Struthio camelus: one gene and its partner. The protein of the gene in region 1 interacts with the protein of each later gene in a pairwise test. Links are inferred from orthologs where the notes say so. Each region holds a gene or a part of one and is shown in the gene's direction. Other genes may lie near its edges.

What was found. The genes of interacting proteins can lie anywhere in the genome.
Region 2: the proteins of TRIM54 (region 1) and DTX2 interact in binary tests that used the Homo sapiens proteins (3 or more experiments, as listed by UniProt). The two-hybrid records come from large-scale screens. The link is inferred for Struthio camelus from reciprocal best matches to the Homo sapiens genes TRIM54 and DTX2.

Annotation. Positions count from the first base shown.
Region 1 is NC_090944.1:1,035,776-1,045,182, reverse strand, and holds the start of TRIM54 (tripartite motif-containing protein 54), read left to right. Parts: upstream 1-5,605; 5' UTR 5,606-5,687; coding exon 5,688-5,855; intron 5,856-7,406; coding exon 7,407-7,579; intron 7,580-8,982; coding exon 8,983-9,331; intron 9,332-9,407. Other genes in the region: DNAJC5G (dnaJ homolog subfamily C member 5G), read left to right, coding at 441-553, 1,046-1,259, 1,420-1,573, 2,212-2,294. UniProt on the Homo sapiens protein: May bind and stabilize microtubules during myotubes formation.
Region 2 is NC_090957.1:14,470,498-14,480,173, reverse strand, and holds the start of DTX2 (probable E3 ubiquitin-protein ligase DTX2), read left to right. Parts: upstream 1-5,419; 5' UTR 5,420-7,474; coding exon 7,475-7,493; intron 7,494-9,389; coding exon 9,390-9,676. UniProt on the Homo sapiens protein: Regulator of Notch signaling, a signaling pathway involved in cell-cell communications that regulates a broad spectrum of cell-fate determinations.

The DNA of each region.
Region 1 (9,407 bases):
TACTCTCCGCAAGGATGCTCGTTGCCCGCCCGGGCGGCGCGGTGCTGCCCCGGCGGGCCGGACTGCAGGCGGGGGGAGCGGCCGGGCCGGGGCTGCCGCGCTCGGGGCTGTACGCGGCGGCCGTCGCCTCCCTCGGCAATAAACGGGCAGCGCCGAGCGCCGCGTCCTGCTCTCGCCGGGGGCGGGGCCGGGGGCGAGGGGGCGGGGCCGGGGGGCAGGGGGCGGGGCAGGGGGGCGAGGGGGCGGGGCCGGGGTGTTTCTGCGGGGGCGGGGGTCCGTCTGTGACGCACTGCCGCCGCTCCCAGCGCGCCTGCGCGGGGCGGGGCGGTGCGCGCAGGCGCAGACGGGGCGGCCGTGCGGAAGCGGCGGCGGCGGCGGCGGCGGTGAGGGGCGCCGGGCCGGGCCGTGACGCGCCGCCGGTGCTCGTCGCCGCAGGCGGGATGGCGGAGCCCAGCCGGCCGCAGCGGAAGCTGTCGCGGGCCGGGGAGAGCCTCTATCATGTCCTGGGCCTGGAGAAGGGCGCCTCCCCCGAGGAGATCAAGAAGGCCTACCGGTACGGGGAGGGCCGGGACGGGGCGAGCTGGGCCGGGCCGGGCCGGGCCGGGGGGCGGCGGCGGCGGGGGGCCGGGTCGGGGCCTGGCGGGGGCTGGCGGGGGGCCGGGCCGGGGGTCGGCGGGGGGACGGGGCCTGGTGGGGGCTGGCGGGGGACCGGGCCGGGGGGCAGCGGGGGGCCGGGGCCTGGTGGGGGCTGGCGGGGGGCCGGGCCGGGGGGCGGCGGGGGGCCGGGGCCTGGTGGGGGCTGGCGGGGGGTCGGGCCGGGGGGCGGCGGGGGGACGGGGCCTGGTGGGGGCTGGCGGGGGGTCGGGCCGGGGGGCGGCGGGGGGACGGGGCCTGGTGGGGGCTGGCGGGGGGACGGGGCCTGGTGGGGGCTGGCGGGGGGTCGGGCCGGGGGCCGGCGGGGGGACGGGGCCTGGTGGGGGCTGGCGGGGGGCCGGGCCGGGCCGGGGGGCCGGTGCCGTGCCCTGCCAGCCGCGGTGCCCCGCAGGAAGCTGGCCCTCAAGTACCACCCGGACAAGAACCCCGACGACCCGGCGGCGGCCGAGCGCTTCAAGGAGATCAACAGCGCCCACGCCACGCTGAGCGACGAGGACAAGCGGCGCGTCTACGCCGAGTACGGCTCCATGGGGCTCTACGTGGCCGAGCAGTTCGGCGAGGACAGCGTCAAGTACTACTTCCTCATGTCCAAGTGGTGGTTCAAGGTGAGCCCTGCCCCGCCACCGCGCGCCTGCCGCTGCCGGGCCCCACGCCGCAGGGCTCGGGGGCCGCTGCCGGGCAGGGCAGCCTGGGGCCGGGGGGCCGCAGCGGGGCCTGGGCTGCCGGCGGGCTCAGGTGTCTCACAGCGCGCCTGCCCCCGCGCAGGCCCTGGGTCTGTGCTGTGGTATCATCACCTGCTGTTGCTGCTGCTGCTGCTGCTGCTTCTGCTGCGGGAGGTGCCGACCACCTGAGGAGGACGAGTCCTACAAGTATGTCAACCCCGAAGACCTGGAGGCGCAGATCCGTGCGGAGGACAACAGTGAGTTAGGCAGTCTCTGTTCCCTTTTGTGTGCCCAGCTCCTGCGTCTGGGAGTGCCTGGCTTGCTCCTGCTGCACGGGGTTTCTGGGGGAGGTCTGGTCTTGTCTGGGGAGACCGGGCTCTTGTTAAACAGTAGGGTCTGACTTAGCATCATCTGCTGCTCAAGGGCTGACGCTTGGTGTTTCCAGCTTGGGTCTTGGCTGGTGGCAGCTGGTAGAGGGAACTCTTGCGCAGGGTTCATGGAGAATATCTTGTGCTTCCTTGATTTCCCTTGGGAAAGGTCTCCCTGAAGGCACAGCTCTGGGATCTAGAAATCCTTGGGGAAGGAGCGTGGGGAGAGCAGCCGTGCTCTAGGCTGGTCCCATTCCCAGTGCTGGTAGGCAGTGGCTGTGCTGGTATCTACAATCTGAAATACTCTGGGATTTGGAGTGATCCTGGTCATCTCTGCAGGCTTCCCTGGGGTAGGGGGCACTGCTGGAGTGGCTGCGCGCTGGCTGGAGGTGTGGGCCCTTGTCAGATGGGGCTGGAGAGCTGTGGTTCGTGGGAGGCTGAATGAGGGTGCTGGGATGTCACAAGCAGCTGTTTCCTGGCACCGCAGCATGGGATTTAGCCGCTGACCTGCAGGTCTTCTTTTCCAGATGTGCAGACACCTATTGTGGCCCAGCCCCCACCTGCTGGAGCAGAGCCGTCGCCGGGTGTCAGCACCAAGACGGACGCATGAGGCTGGCCTCAGCCCCGCCAACAGCCCCAGGACTCTGGGCAGGGATCCCCCTTTGGGACTGTCCCTCTCCAGGACCCCTGTCGTGCCACCCAGGGTGGCTGTCCAGCCTCACTGTGGCTAGAATCTCAGGTTAAATTAGCCAGCATCAGTGCAGAGGCTCTTGTGCCCCTGTTCGAGCTCCACAGAGATACCCTGCATCCCCGCACTGGCAACAGAGGTGGCCTGGAGCCCCTTGCTGCTGTGCCCCATCCGCAGTGCCTCTTCTGCTGCTGTGTCCCAGCCCAGCCCTGGGCGCTAGCTCTCAGGTGAGGCCCCGCTGAAGGCAGACTGGATCCACTGTGACTGGACTAAGACTGGAGAGGCCGGGACTGGCTCCCTGCTGGGACCAGCCCGGTGCGTGGCCTGGCCGCTCACCAGCAGCACCGGGCGCCCCGGCCCGTGTGCGCCTCGGCCCCTTGCTGCCCTGCTGGCTCTGGCTTGACTGGGGGCCGCTGCTTGCGGCTGTGGCGGCAGCCCGTTGCCAGAGCCGGTTGCTTTCCTTGGGGCCCAGCAGCGCGCGGAGGCCGCCTGGCCCAGGCTCCGCAGCCTGCAGGAAGCGGCCGAGGGTATTAGAGACCATTAGCACTGTAATCCCTGGGGCTGGGCTGAGCCCGCTACCTGCCCACGTGGGGACCCTCCTTACGGGTGCTGGGTGCCAAACGCCGCTCGCGGGGCTGGGGTGCGGCCTTCTGTACCTCCTTGCTCTGTGCCCCCGTGGTCGCGGGGCGCCGGCTGCACCCCCTTCTGCCTGTTGCTGGCAGGCTCCCTGCAGGGCTGGGCCCAGGCACAGGCACTTTCCTTGGGTTTGTATAGGTTTTATGGGCACCATTAAAGGATGATGGGAGGGGAACATGTTTCTGTGTGGTCTCTACCCCGGCAAGAGCCGCCTGAACGCTCTCAGGCGGTGGGACGTGCCCTTCCCTGGCTCTGCCCTGCTCTGGCTGAGAGCCGTGGCCGTACCATAGGGGTGGCGGGCCGAGGAAGGGTCGGTGGGTCGCAGCCCGAGTGCTGCCAGAGGGGACAGTTGGCGACAGGAGTGAAAGTTGTTCTGCCTCCTGTCAGCTTCCGGGGAGAGCTCCGCGCCCTCCCGAGGGTGCTGCCCAGCAGGGCTCCAGGCCTTTCCCGGGCCCTGCGGCTGGGCTGGGCAGGGCAGTCCCAGGGCAGCCGGAGCCAGGCTGGGGCACCCTGGTCCTGCTGGGCTAACGGGGGCGCTGGGAGCTCCAGCACCCACCGGTGCGCGAAGGGACTTGTCCTTCCTCCTGCTGCCGACACGCTGTGCCGCGGCCGCCCTCTTCCCCCTCCTGCCCGGGGCGGGAGGCAGACTGTGGCCCTACAGCCCTGTGCGGCCTGGATCTGTCCCCGTGCCGCTGGATGAGGCGCTGGGGTGCCAGGCTGGCGCGCCGGGGCTGAGGCAGCGCCCGCAGCGGTGCGGCGTGCCCCTGCGCAAGGGCCAGGCCTGCTCTGCGCCTGCCAGAAACAGCTCGGCCCCCCCGGCTCCGCTTCCACCGCTGGCAGCGCGTGTGCCAGCTGATGGCTCCGCGTGCGTGTCCCGGATGGTCCCTGCCCTGTGCCAGGCTGGGAGAAGGGGCGAGCGGGCTGCCCTGGCCCTTGTCTCCCAGCCTGCAGCTGTGCGCGCTGCCTCACCCACTAAATATAGCCGGAGTGTCAGGGCAAGCGGTGCGGGACGGGGGTGTCCCTGGCACCAGTGTTGGCGGGCGTTTTTCCATGTCGGTGCTTGGGGGGGGCTGGCTCTGGCCAGGGCTCACGGGACCCGAGCCTGCTCCCAGCTCCGTTATCTCCCGGGAAGGGCATGTACCCTCCCCGAGTTGGGCAAGAACCTGGCCGCCAGGCAGCTTTGTTCCTCCTGGGCCTGGCGGGCGGCTGAGCTCTGCTGACCCTGTGCCAGCCTGGCTGGAGCCTCCTCCCCACCCTGCTGCCTCGGCCCGGGCAGGGGCCCCGGCCCCGGCCCCGTCTTTGTTCCTGTGGGGGGGGGCTGCAGGGGAGCCCTGCTGCCCTGAGGGTCCCCAGGGAGCAGCTGGCCTGTCCCAGGGGAGCAGTGCAGGCAGCACAGGGGGGGTCTGCCCCACCGCGCGCTCGAGGCCGGCTGCGAGGGGGGAGGCAGCCCTGGGTCCTGGGATTGGGAGCGGGGATGGCACCTGGGAATGGCGCCCGGCATGGTCCCCTGCTGTGCTGCGTGGGCTGGGGAAGGGACTGGCAGGGGGTGGTGGTGTCCTTGCCTTCAGGCCAGGGGCTGCCGCTGGCCCCGTGGGGCTGTGCCCCCGCAGCTGGCCGGGATCCGGAGCAGAGGCAGAGACAGGGCTGGGGGGCCGGGATGGGGTGGTCCTGGGGGGGACGGAGTGCGGGGCCAGGGGGACCGGGATGGCATGGTCCCGGGGGTGATGGGGTGCGGGGCTGGGGGGGCCGGGATGGGGTGGTCCCGGGGGGGACGGAGTGCGGGGCCAGGGGGACCGGGATGGGGTGGTCCCGGGGGGACGGGGCATGGGGCTGAGGGGGGCCAGGGGGACCTGCCGAGGGCCGGCCACGGAGGGCAGCCGGGGCAGGGGAGCGGGGCCGGGCGCGTAGCCCCGGGGGGCGTTGCGGCCCCCTCCGGGCGCCGTGACTCAGTGTCACCCGACGCCGCTGACAGCTGCCGCGGCCCCGCGCAGGCCCCGGGCGGCTAAAATTAGCGCGGGCGCAGCGGGGCGAGCGTGGGGCAGCGGGGCCGGAGTGAGAGCGGGGCCGGCAGCGGGGCGAGCGTGGGGCAGCGGGGCCGGAGCGAGAGCGGGGCCGGCAGCGGGGCGAGCGTGGGACAGCGGAACCGGAGCGGAGCCGGGAGCAGAGCCGGAGCCGGGAGCGGGGCCGGAGCGGAACCGGAGCGGGGCCGGGAGCAGAGCCGGAGCCGGGAGCGGGGCCGGAGCGGAACCGGAGCGGAGCCGGGAGCAGAGCCGGAGCCGGGAGCGGGGCCGGAGCGGGGCCGGGAGCGGAGCCGGGAGCGGGGCCGGAGCGGGGCCGGAGCGGGGCCGGAGCGGAACCGGAGCGGGGCCGGGAGCGGAGCCGGGAGCGGGGCCGGAGCGGGGCCGGAGCGGGGCCGGAGCGGAACCGGAGCGGGGCAGGAGCGGGGCCGGAGCGGAGCCGGGAGCAGAGCCGGAGCCGGGAGCGGGGCCGGAGCGGAACCGGAGCGGGGCCGGGAGCGGAGCCGGGAGCGGGGCCGGAGCGGGGCCGGAGCGGAACCGGAGCGGAACCGGAGCGGGGCCGGAGCGGAGCCGGGAGCGGGGCCGGAGCGGAACCGGAGCGGAGCCGGAGAGGAGCCGGGAGCGGGCCGGGCCGGGCCGGGCCGAGGAGGGCACCGCGGCGATGAACTTCGCGGTGGGGCTGAAGCCGCTGCTGGCGGAGGCGCGGAGCATGGAGAGCCTGGAGAAGCAGCTCATCTGCCCCATCTGCCTGGAGATGTTCACCAAGCCCGTGGTCATCCTGCCCTGCCAGCACAACCTCTGCCGCAAGTGCGCCAACGACGTCTTCCAGGTGCGGGGCGGCCGGGAAGGGGGCCGGAGCCGACCGCGACCCACCGGCGGGGTTGGGGGGCAGTGAGACCCCGACCCACCGGCAGGGGGGGGCAGTGAGACCCCGACCCCCCGGCGGGAGGTGGGGGACAGTGTGACCCTGACCGGCTGGGAAGGGGGCCGGAGCAGACCCCGACCCCCCGGCGGGGTTGGGGGGCAGTGAGACCCCGACCCACCGGCGGGAGGTGGGGGGCAGTGTGACCCTGACCGGCTGGGAAGGGGGCCGGAGCAGACCCCGACCCCCCGGCGGGGTTGGGGGGCAGTGAGACCCCGACCCACTGGCGGGAGGTGGGGGGCAGTGTGACCCTGACCGGCTGGGAAGGGGGCCGGAGCAGACCCCGACCCCCCGGCGGGGTTGGGGGGCAGTGAGACCCCGACCCACCGGCGGGAGGTGGGGGGCAGTGTGACCCTGACCGGCTGGGAAGGGGGCCGGAGCAGACCCCGACCCCCCGGCGGGGTTGGGGGGCAGTGAGACCCCGACCCCCCGGCGGGAGGTGGGGGGCAGTGTGACCCTGACCGGCTGGGAAGGGGGCCGGAGCAGACCCCGACCCCCCGGCGGGGTTGGGGGGCAGTGAGACCCCGACCCACTGGCGGGAGGTGGGGGGCAGTGTGACCCTGACCGGCCGGGAAGGGGGCCGGAGCAGACCCCGACCCCCCGGCGGGGTTGGGGGGCAGTGAGACCCCGACCCACTGGCGGGAGGTGGGGGGCAGTGTGACCCTGACCGGCCGGGAAGGGGGCCGGAGCAGACCCCGACCCCCCGGCGGGGTTGGGGGGCAGTGAGACCCCGACCCACTGGCGGGAGGTGGGGGGCAGTGTGACCCTGACCGGCCGGGAAGGGGGCCGGAGCAGACCCCGACCCCCCGGCGGGGTTGGGGGGCAGTGAGACCCCGACCCCCCGGCGGGAGGTGGGGGGCAGTGTGACCCTGACCGGCTGGGAAGGGGGCCGGAGCAGACCCCGACCCCCCGGCGGGGTTGGGGGGCAGTGAGACCCCGACCCCCCGGCGGGAGGTGGGGGGCAGTGTGACCCTGACCGGCCGGGAAGGGGGCCGGAGCAGACCCCGACCCCCCGGCGGGGTTGGGGGGCAGTGAGACCCCGACCCACTGGCGGGAGGTGGGGGGCAGTGTGACCCTGACCGGCTGGGAAGGGGGCCGGAGCAGACCCCGACCCACCGGCGGAGGTGGGGGTTAGCAAGACCCCGACCCACCGGCGGGAGGTGGGGGGCAGTGAGACCCCGACCACCGGCGGGGGGGGCAGTGAGACCCTGACCGGCCGGGAAGGGGGCCGGAGCAGACCCCGACCCCCCGGCGGGGTTGGGGGGCAGTGTGACCCTGACCGGCCGGGAAGGGGGCCGGAGCCCGTGTCGGCCGGCGGCGGCGGGGCGCAGGGCTGCCCGCTCCCCCCGCTCCAGCTCCCGTCCCGGGGCGGCCGGGGGAGAGGGGCTGCCGGTGCCCCGGGGGGGGGGTCCCGTGTGCCTCGGGGGGCCTGTGACCCCCCCCGTCCCCCCTCCCCAGGCGTCCAACCCGCTGTGGCAGTCGCGGGGCTCCAGCGCGGTGCCGTCGGGGGGCCGGTTCCGGTGCCCGTCGTGCCGCCACGAGGTGGTGCTGGACCGGCACGGGGTGTACGGGCTGCAGCGCAACCTGCTCGTGGAGAACATCATCGACATCTACAAGCAGGAGTCGGCCAGGTGCGGCCGGCCCCGGGGAGCCCACGGGGGAGCCCACGGGGGTGACCGAGCCCCGTGGATCTAAGGGTGCCCACGGGGGAGCCTGGGGTGGCACCGGAGGAGCCCACGGGGGGAGCCCACGGGGGTGACCGAGCCCCGTGGATCTAAGGGAGCCCACGGGGGAGCCCACGGGGGAGCCCACGGGGGAGCCCACTGGGGCAGCCGGGGGTGGCACCGGGGGAGCCCACGGGGGGAGCCCACGGGGGTGACCGAGCCCCGTGGATCTTAGGGTGCCCACGGGGGAGCCTGGGATGCCACCAGGGGAGCCCACGGGGGGAGCCCACGGGGGTAACCGAGCCCCGTGGATCTAAGGGAGCCCACGGGGGAGCCTGGGGTGGCACCGGGGGAGCCCATGGGGGGAGCCCACGGGGGTGACCGAGCCCCGTGGATCTGAGGGCGCCCACGGGGGGGAGCCAGGGGTGGCACCTGGGGAGCTCACAGGGGGAGCCCACTGGGGGATCCTGGGGTAACCGAGCCCTGTGGATCTAAGGGTGCCCACGGGGGAGCCTGGGGTGGCACCGGGGGAGCCCATGGGGGGAGCCCACGGGGGTAACCGAGCCCCGTGGATCTAAGGGTGCCCACGGGGGAGCCTGGGGTGGCACCGGGGAAGCCCACGGGGGGAGCCCAGGGTGACCGAGCCCTGTGGATCTAAGGGTGCCCACGGGGGAGCCTGGGGTGGCACCAGGGGAGCCCACGGGGGGAGCCCACGGGGGTGACCGAGCCCCGTGAATCTAAGGGTGCCCACGGGGGAGCCTGGGGTGGCACCGGGGAAGCCCACGGGGGGAGCCCAGGGTGACCGAGCCCTGTGGATCTAAGGGAGCCCACGGGGGAGCCTGGGGTGGCACCGGGGGAGCCCACGGGGGGAGCCCACGGGGGTGACCGAGCCCCGTGGATCTAAGGGTGCCCACGGGGGAGCCAGGGGTGGCACCGGGGAAGCCCACGGGGGGAGCCCAGGGTGACCGAGCCCTGTGGATCTAAGGGAGCCCACGGGGGAGCCTGGGGTGGCACCGGGGGAGCCCACGGGGGGAGCCCACGGGGGTGACCGAGCCCCGTGGATCTAAGGGTGCCCACGGGGGAGCCAGGGGTGGCACCAGGGGAGCCCACGGGGGGAGCCCACGGGGGTAACCGAGCCCCGTGGATCTAAGGGTGCCCACGGGGGAGCCAGGGGTGGCACCAGGGGAGCCCACGGGGGGAGCCCACGGGGGTAACCGAGCCCCGTGGATCTAAGGGAGCCCGTGGGGGGGCCGCAGGCCTAGAGCCAGGGGAGGGGAGGGAGGGTGGCAGGGCCCCTGCGGGGCCGCGGGGCTGGTGGGCGTCGGGGTGCCGGGGCGCGTGGTGGGCATGGGCGCCCGGCCCCCCCGCAGGCCCCTGCACGCCAAGGCGGAGCAGCACCTCATGTGCGAGGAGCACGAGGACGAGCGGATCAACATCTACTGCCTGCGCTGCGAGGTGCCCACCTGCTCCCTCTGCAAGGTCTTCGGGGCGCACAAGGACTGCGAGGTGGCGCCGCTGCCCGCCATCTACCAGCGCCAGAAGGTGGGTGGCCCTGGCGGGTCGGCGTGGGGCTGGGGGGGGGGGCACCCACCCCGCCGGCCCTCACACCCGTCTCGCCCCCAGAGCGAGCTCAGCGACGGCATCGCCATGCTGGTGGCGGGGAACGACCGCATCCAGGCCATCATCACCCAAATGGAGGAGATCTGCCGGACCATCGAGGTGGGAGCCAGGGCACGGCCCAGCCCCCGGGGGCCCTGCATCCCCCCCCAGCCGACCCCGCGCTGGGGGCTGCATC
Region 2 (9,676 bases), on another chromosome or scaffold:
AATCCTGCAGGTGTGCGTTCAATACTTGGCAAATCCACAAAGCATTTCAAACCTTTCCCAGCCCTGTACACCTTTCCCATCACTGAGATCAAAACCTGACCCTCGCTAAATCCAAAGGGGCGGGAGAACAGAGAAAGCAAAGCTGCTCCAAGGCACAGAAGAGAGCTAGAGCTACGTATCAATTGCTAAGCAACAGCACCAATCTCGCTCTTGTTCTATATGACAAAAAGATTTCAACAAAAGGCATCAAAACAAAAATCTTCAAGGTCTCAAGAGTAAGGAAGAGTGAGGTCACTTTATCTCCTGCTCTTTCTTACTAATCCTGGATTGTCCCTGCAAAAGGCCTTGATTTAGCTCGGCCCAGAACACTCAGCGGAGAGCACTGACAACCTCCCTGGGCTTCTCTCCCCGTTTCCAGGTCTTTGAAGGGCACAAATCTCGTTCTCTCTTTGCTGCTCACCTTTACACTGAAACACAAAAAGGCCCTTTAATCCAGCAGGTGCTTCTCCCTTTTTCTGTTGCTTTCATAATCCTGCCTGCACCACCTGCAGGCACAAGCGCAATGATTAGCGCTGCCTGGATGCCGGTTGTGAAGCTTCTCGTTCAGTCCCATGAGGCCTGTCTCATATTCAGAGCGTCACCCAACGAAGCGATGCGGAAAATTTCACACACATTCAGGATTAATCTGTATATATAAATCTTCGTAGGGACCCTAAATTATTGACAGCCAAAGAACACTTTCTAGTTTGGGAGAACTCCTGCCGTCTCCCGCACGGACGCACCAGACCGCCAGCGCTGGCCTGGTTACGCAGAGGCAACCAGGAAGGCAGGCTGTTGCGGTCACCCCGCTTTAGCGGTATCGCATCGCCCACGCCGTTTTACGGGGTAAAGGCGCTTTTCTCCAGACGCTCTCTGCAAACACAGTACAAGGCCTGCCTCCGATCCTCCCTCTTTAGGAGGTGTAAGCAAGGGGAGAGACACAAAGAAAACCCGCCCGGGGCTGAGGGCGAGAGGCGGGCGGCTCTCGCGGGCGGGAGGAGAGGCAGAGCTGGAGGCTCTTGGGCTAAGGACCGAGGCGGAGGAGCGGAGGCGTCCTCCTCGAGCAGAGGGGAACAGGAGTGACACCAGGGCCAGCTGGGCGGCCGGCGCTGCACAAGGAGACCTCGGGCCACCCCCACGGGCCGCGACAGGCCGCGACAGGCCGCCATGGGCCTCCACAGGCCACCACGGGCCACCATGGGCCACGACAGGCCACCATGGGCCGTAACAGGCCGCCACGGGCCACCATGGGCCTCCACAGGCCACAATAGGCTGCCACGGGCCACCACGGGCCGTGACAGGCCGCCATGGGCCACGACAGGCTGCCACGGGCCACCATGGGCCTCCACAGGCTGCGACAGGCTGTCATGAGCCTCCACAGGCCACAACAGGCCGCCACGGGCCTCCACAGGCCGCCACAGGCTGCCATGGGCCGCCACAGCAGGCCATCATGGGCCTCCACAGGCCACGACAGGCCGCCGCGGGCCACGTAGCCTGCCGCCGGCGGAGAGGGCCCTGGCCCCGCGGGCCCGAGGGGGCTGCGTCGCCGGCAGGGCGCTGGGCTCCGTGGCGGTCGGCCGCCTTCCGGCCACGCACCGGGGCAGCAGGGCAGCGGCGCACGCCACTGCCGGGCCTGCTGCCGCGCCCCCGCGCCTGCCTCGTCCCCAGCCGCCTCGCTCGCACCCCGCGCTTGTCTCCGGCCCTCCAGCCCTCTGCGTGCACGCACGCACACGCAGGCATGTGCGCGCACACACACACACACACACACACACGTGCACACATGCACGCTCACACATGTGCACACACATGCTCACACCCATGTGCACACACACGCATGCACATGCACACATGCATGCACACACGTGCACACAGACGTGCACACATATGCACACACATGCATGCACGCACACACAGACGTGCATACACACACACACACATGCACGCACACATGTGCACACACACGCATGCACACACACAGACGTGCACACAGACGTGCACACACACTCACACGCATGCACACCCACCCGCACGCACACCCACCCACACATACACGCGCATATGTGCACACACACACACACACACACACACACAGACGTGCACACACACACACACAGACGTGCACACACGCACACACATGCACACACACACACGGATGCACACGCACACACATGCATGCACACACCGACCACACACAAACACACACCCCCCACCCGCGCCCCTCCCCCCGCACTACATCTCCCAGGCGGCCGCGCGCGGCGCATGCGCGCTGCCGCCCCGCCGCTGTCGGCCGGGAAGTGGCTGCCCCGCGAGCAACCGCCGCCGCCGCCGCCGGGAGTCACGGTGAGGGGCTCGGCCGGCCCGGGCCTGCGGGGGGGGCGGGGGCGGGGGCGGCTGCGCGCCGGGGATCAGCCCAGCTCCGCTCCGCTCCGCTCCGCTCCGCTCCGCTCGGCCGGGCCGGGGCGGCGGTGGGGTCCGGCGCCTTGCCGGCTCCGGGGTCGGTGCCGGGGCGGTCGGGGCCGGGGCCTGGCGCGGCGGCAGTGCCGGAGCGAGCCCGGGCACGGCCGGGGGCGGCGGGTCGTTAAGGCGTTTGGGTGCCGGCCGGGCCGCAGCCCCCGGGCCACCCCTGCTCCTGGCCGAGCCGCCGCGGGCCGGGCCGGCGCCCGTGGCGGGGGAGCCGCTCCAGGTCTGTCGGCCGCGGCGCCCCAGCGGGGCCTCGAACCGGCGCCGTTCGCCGCCGGGCGGCCCGGCCGGGTGCGGGCCCGGCCGCGCTGCGGCCGAGACGCCGGTTTGCTTTTCGCGGCGTGCGGTGGCTGCGCTGGGGCTGCCCTCGGCGCGGGGGCCCTTTGGGAGGAAGAGCGCGCTGCTGCGAAACCAGCTCTTCTGCTCCTGGCTCTGAGAGGGCTCGGAGAAACCTCTGCAGACCTGTCCTTATCACATTGGGAAAGGAAGGGAAAGAAAGGGGCTTGCCGCAGACTTCAGCCTCCCGTGACCGAGTCTTGACTGTGCTAGGACTGCTTTTAAACCCTGGCTTAATCATGTAGTTGCTCCGTGACTCAGTTGCCTAACAAGCAGAAGGTTTGGATTACTTTAAACAGGCTTCCTTTTGTCTACCTGGACAGTAGACGACAGCCTTTTTGCTGGAGAGCTGGGTTTGAGTACCAGCCTTGGACAGTGAGGGTCTGGGGTGAATTACAAACCTAAACAGCAGAAGCGAACGTTGATGAGATGTAGTGCTGCCAAACTCCTCTGCACCTCTGGTTCTGCAAGGCGTTCTCCACTGCTGGGTGGGCAAAGTCCTCCTGCCAGTCCTGCAGAGCCGTTTCAACTTGCTATCCCAACAGAAAGCTATCTGCGTTTTCCCCTGGTTTCGTTTTCTGCTGGGTTAGTGATTTGATTATTCCTGCAGAGGGATCTGACAGGCAGCAGAGCTCATACAAAGTGCATAGCAGGAGCAGGCAGCTGGGAGTGGGGTCTCCGTCTTTTGGAAGCTCTGGGCTCTCAGGGCAGCTCCTCTCTGTCTCGAGGAATCATCCCATAGTGCTCTTGAAAGTCTGCTGCCTTAGCTTTATTGTGCTTAATGAATTGTGCTATGGTTATACGGCCTAGAGAGCAAGGACATAGTTCTCCTTGCATCAAACTCTAAGTTCCTTCTTTGCTTCCAGCCCATGGTCTCTCATGTTTGTGTGGGTGTTCGTTACTGCCTGGACAACTCCTGATTTACCTCCGAAGCTGAGGGTAGGTCTGCAAAAGGATCTTGGAAATAGCAAATTGTCTGTGGGTAACTGTAAGTGCTTTCTGGTGTTTAAACAAGGAGATAGTATATTTAAGCAAGGAAGTGGTAAGAGTTTGTTGATGTAAATCTGTTTGTGCCGTGTGGTGTTTTATTTAAATCTTCTAAGGTCATCTTTAACTTCTAATGGGTGTGTTATGTGGCAAAGTGGCAGGACTGGCTGTGAATTGAATGAATCACCAGCTCCCATTGGCAGGGACTTGACTTTTGACTTCTCATATAGTATTTTGGAATCCAGCTGCATGGTCCAGTAGGGAACTTCTCTAAATGACATGGGTGCTGGTCTGTTGAGAGAATTGGCTTCCTGAGACTGGGTAGGAGATTTTCTTTCTACCTGCAAAAAGAAAATAAATAAATAAAAGCTTTCTTGTTACTAGCTGAAGCTTTGGCGAAAATGGAGAAGCCCTCCAGATTTTGCCAGGTTTGCACTCCCATGAGTAAATAATCTCCCTCCAAGTCGATAATCTTCTATTTCAGTGCCCTGGAAGGACCCTGGAGCAAGTGAGCAGGATGCTGGGTTTGGTTTGATGCCAGGCAACTGTTCTTATATTCAAGTGTACCTACCCTGTTCCCTTTGCCTCAGCATTCCTATTCATTTGTGCCTGAAATAAGTGCTCTGCCTAGTTGATAGGCAAATGCTTTGTTCTGCTCCAGTTACACTCTTTATTTCCTCCTCCAAAGGGAATTTTCTTGAAATTTGTTTTGAATGGAGGGAATCCAGGTTTTGGGTGGACAGGTTTTATTTCTTCTGTTCTTTTGGCTGCCAACCCAGCCACCTTGTGCTGTGATTACCAGCGAAGGCTACAAGAAAGCAGGACTGTGTCTAGGTCTGACCCCGACTGCGACCTCCCCTCTACCATTTTGCTCTATCCTTCCCCATCTTCTGGGTCGCTGCTAGCTGTTGTGCTACTCGGCGCTGGACATGTGTGTACGGAAAGGAGTGCTTAGGATAGCCAAAGCGACAGAAGTCAGGTGACTGGAAACAATTAAATGGCTTCCCCAAGATGGCAGAGCTGGGGAAAGGACTGGCCTCTCCTGATCTTTGCTTGGTTAAACGGTTCCCATTTCTCCCTGTGGACACCGTTGTGGCCTGATGGTGTCACCTGCTCATCTTCCTGAGTTCCTGGTCAGGACAGAGTGTCTTTTTGCAAAATATTCCCCAGCGCAGGTGGAAACTGGGGGCTTGAAGCAGCAATTACAGCCTCTTTTGCCAGCAATCAGACCACAGATGGCTGGAGAGCAAAGTCTCTGAGCAGCAGTGAGCTTAGCTGGGCAGTCTTGCTCTGTGGGTGGAGTCAGGCTGTGTCCCATTGGGCCCAGATGGCCCAGGAGCAATGAAGGGTTTGGGATTTGTGAGTTGAGGCCCCGTTTTCATTTGCAGTATGTTCCCCTCAGTTATCCAGCAGGAGCTTCATCCCTTGCAGAGAGCCTGCAGAGGACCTGTTGCATGAGTATATTTGCAGCTCCTGTTGCGCTGGGTCCAGACCGGGGGGGGGGGATTAGATGTCACGGGGTGCTGCAAGGGGGCTAGCTGCTCTTCCATTTGGCATTGCAGTGGCACAGGGCATATCAAATACTGTTCCAGTGAGGCACCCCCTCTGCCGAGGGTCCCTGCCTTATTACAGTCTCACTGCTTTCTTCTATTTTACATACGCTTTTAATCAGTGTATAATCTTTTTCCAGCAGTTATCTATAAGGGCTTGTCTGTAACTCTTCCAGTGCCACCTCTCGTATGCTGTTAGTGGCACTAACAAGTCTCTCCTGGGCACCCTTGTGTCTGAACAACGTGCCGAAACATCTCCGTGTTCTGAAGACTCTCATTCTGGTGATTTTTGAACAGAGCCTGCAACCCCAGCCAAGCCCAAGGACTCCTGAGGCCTTCTCTCTTGCACTTGTGGTACAAACTAGCTCACCATGTAACTTCTTGTTAGCACTGGCAATTTCAGGTCAGAAACTTAAAAAGGGATGTGGGGTTTTTAGAAACCATTTTTGACTTTTAAGACCTTACTTTCAAAGGAAAAGAAAATTCAATTTTATGGTAAGTAGAACAGGTCTGAGAATTAAATGTCTTTCAAATGTTTTAATTCCCCTCGTTCCTGCCTGTCCCTCCCCAGCTTTCTCCCCATGTTTTGCTGGAGCTCGAGGAGCAGGAGGCGAATCTGCTGGGAAACACAACTGAAATGCACCAAATTCTTTAACTTGTCCAAGTCCCCAGTTAAATAAAGCCTTGTGGGCAGATATTACGACAGGTGTGCTGGGGCATAGAGATCAAACCAAACAAATCCAAATTCAGGATGTGAGCCGAAGTTAAAAATCACCTCCAAAGTGGAGGACAGTTGGCTGGACTGTTTTAAGTATCCACTTCAAGTAGCAGGGGGTTTGTTTTCATTTGGGGCAAGGTGGCCCACTAGGATTTCTAATTGGAGCCAGGATTATTTGCTGAATAAACATAGCTCTTTGGGGTAGGTTTGACTTTCAGGTTCTTTTTAAAATTAAAGGTGAAGGGTTAGTCTGAGGGATTTTAACAAAGACATGTAGCTACTCTCTCAGTGGTTGCAAATCTCCCCAGAACAGAGCCAGCGTAAAGGAGCTGGTGCAGCAGGCAAGCAGGGTCAGGAGAGAGCTGCGTTGGCATGCTGTAGATGGTAATGCTGAATTGCTGCTGCTAGCATCCCAAACACTATGCCAGCAAAGTGGGTGTAGGATATATAACGCATCCAAAGCCACAGCCATATCCATAAAGCTGTGTTAGCAACCCACCCCAAACCTCTCTGTATGCCTGTGTAATGTGCACAGCAGCCCAAGGGGGTAGACGAGCAGCTTTCATATTGAATTTCTCAGCTTTTAATGTTTGTGTGTCACTGAATTCATGAAAGGGGGAAGGAACTGCAACTTGTGTCTTTTTCCCCCCTTCTGTGCCTTAACTCGGATACTCTTGTAATTTTGGCATACTGAAGTTCTCTCCTGTGACTGATGGTGTGCGTTCCTTGCTTCCCAATCCTTGCAAACAGCTGCCAGCTAGAGCACTATTCAGTGACAAGAAGAGGCTGAAATACACTCCTTACTCCTTGGGACCTGCATTCCCAGTGCAGGAAATAGCTCTCCTTACTGATGGGGAGTGAATGTCAGAGCACACCATGCTCGCATGCAGCCAGTCGGGTACCTTTGCTTGTGTGTGGGAGCGGGTTGGTGCGTGTGGTCCAGAATTCAAAGCGTCGCTGCCTTCCGAGGAAGTGAATAATAGACCTTTGTTACCTCTCTGGTCTCAGCCAGTCTTGGCCAGTGTTGCAGTGAGTGCAAGGTGGTATGTAAACGAGGTGGCGCTCGGTGTTTTTCTGCTGTGATTCCTTCTTTTTTCCATTTCCTGCCACTATATTTTAAAAAGGAAGGAAAACAAACTGCTGACTCCCTTCAAAAATCCTCCTACTGGTCGCCTGCTCTGCTGGTGGCTGAAGATCTGCAGATCAGTGTTTGTTAAAGAAGACTTTGGGGAAAAAAAGGTGTCTGTTCTCTAATTGGGGTTCAGAGCATCTAATGAGTGTGTACAGCCCCATACTGGGGAGGACAGAAACTCATACTTGTTCAAGCAGAGCGTGGAAATGCTGACGGTCTCTGAGGAGTAATAGTGTTGGCGTGAAACCTGCCATGAAAAGAAGCAGCAGAGGTAGGTGTCAAGTTTGATACCAGAGGTTTGTGTGAAGTAATTTACTGTTTTGAACAGGAAAATAACCATCCCTGGTACATTAGGTGGAGAATGAGTTACAGCAAAAAATGATTTTTGTGACCAGAGCCTTCTGCTGTTGGTAATCTAAAGCGGTTTGTTGCCAACAGCAGTCAAGCTGGGGATGTTCTGTAAAAATCTCATAGAGCAGCTCATAACTAATTTTCATTGAATTCCTGGAGAAAGTGTTGGTTTCTTCTTATAAATGCAGACACGTGGGTGTGTCTTTGCTCCTTTTTTTTTCCTTTTTTAAGCTAGTGAACCATGCAAGAGTGATGGATGGGACGCTCCAAGCAGCTTGGGATCTTCCCCCATCCGGTAGGAGTGTAATTCTCCATGCAGATGGCATCCTCCAGTGGATACCACCCACTAGTTATCTGCATCTTGGGGACCTAAACCTTTCTATTTGACAAAAAGGAGGCTCATAGCTCCCTGTTGGCTGGTAGTAAAGTGAGCACTCGGCATCGTGAGACCTTAGGAGGGAGAAAGTGATTTTATTTTAGAATAAAATTGGCTTTGCTCATTCACGCTCATGCTGTCATATCCACCTGCACACAAGCACCAATGTGGGTTTCTCCAAGGGGTCTGTGCAGCATTCAGGCACCAAGATGCACGTGTCCAGGTGGTCTGGACAGGATTCCTTGCAGTGACACAGCAGACAAGGGATGCCAGCTATTAAGTCCTCCAGATGTCTCTTGGACTCTTAGTTTGACTGTCATGTGCTGGCTTTGTGTCTGCCTTTTTATATACTTTGGGAGCTAACGGTAACTGTGATCTTTTGTCTCTGCATCCTGTCACTCTTCTGTGAGTCATCAGGATTTACTCACTAGCCTTTGTCTTTTTATCTGGGTGTCTTAAGGCTCCTATTCTCTATTCTTCTCAAGATCATCTCTTAATGGCTTGAATCTTGTGACATCCCTTGTTTCAGGATGTCCCTTGTTTTCCAACCTGAGAAGCTGCAGGTAGGTGTGGTGGGATCTTAATCTAAGTGCCATCAGTAAATGCAGTTTCATATGCCCTTTAATACATCTGATGCCTCCATACTCACACATTTCCATCCATTCTTCATTCAGATCGATCTTAACATTGCTTTGTCATAGTGTGATTTGCAGACTCTTGGGTTGGGCATAAAGGATTACCTTCTGGTTTTGTGTGAATGTATAATGCTACACAGAGGGACTCAAGGGACTGATTCTGGATCAAAACTGAATAACCAGAAGTCTGAGCAGAACTGGCATTGCAGCCCCGAAGTTCGGATGACAGCAAGAAGAGTTTATGAAACACTTGTATAACCAAGTCGTTTGTGTTCACAAGTGCTCAGAGAGCTCCTACTCACAAGCTGGCAACTTGTGTTGGGGTAGTTTGAGAGCTAAACACTGCCAGGACCAGGTCTGAACGTAGGGAAGGGCGGGGTGCAGGATGGCTGCCTGCTATATGGCACACTGCTGCCTGGCGAGCCTCTGAACTCTGGTCCGGGCTTACAGATGTGCCGAATGTGGATTATCCTCAGCTTCTTTGGGGTGGTTTTGCACAGGTCTGTAGCAGCTCTGGTAGTATCTGGTTCTGCAGGCTGTAGGAAGCAGAGTTTTTTCGAAAGAGCTTATGCTCTAGCAAGAAAAGTTGCTAGCATTGGCAGGGAAATAAGGACTGTGGGGGTGGTATGTGATCTGCCCTTGACCAGAGGATTTTGAGGCTGATGCACTTCTCTGTAATCTCCTGAACGCATCAGTGAGCGTCTTCTGTGAAAGGCTGAGCTTGTTTCTTTCCCTTAAATGGCTTGTGCACTGTGGATTTGGGGCATCCTTCTCAGCTCTCTGTGCTCTCTTTGTTTCTTCGCAGGTCCCTCAGAAGAAGATGGTGTAAAGCCAGCCAGCGCAGCTGCCGCTTCCAGTCGCTTTGTGTCCCAGACCTCAGGGTGGAAAATGGCAGCAGCCCAGGGGGCAGGAAGCAGTTCAGCTGGGCCATCTGGGCTCCCCAGCACTGCCCCAGGGCACAGCAACTCCCCAGTGGTGGCAGTGTGGGAATGGCAGGACGAATTCGGGAGGTGGAGGCCCTACCGAGGGAACGTGTGCAGCTACATTGAACAGGTTTTCCAAGCTTCTCAGCAGAAGGGCCGGCGTTTGGGG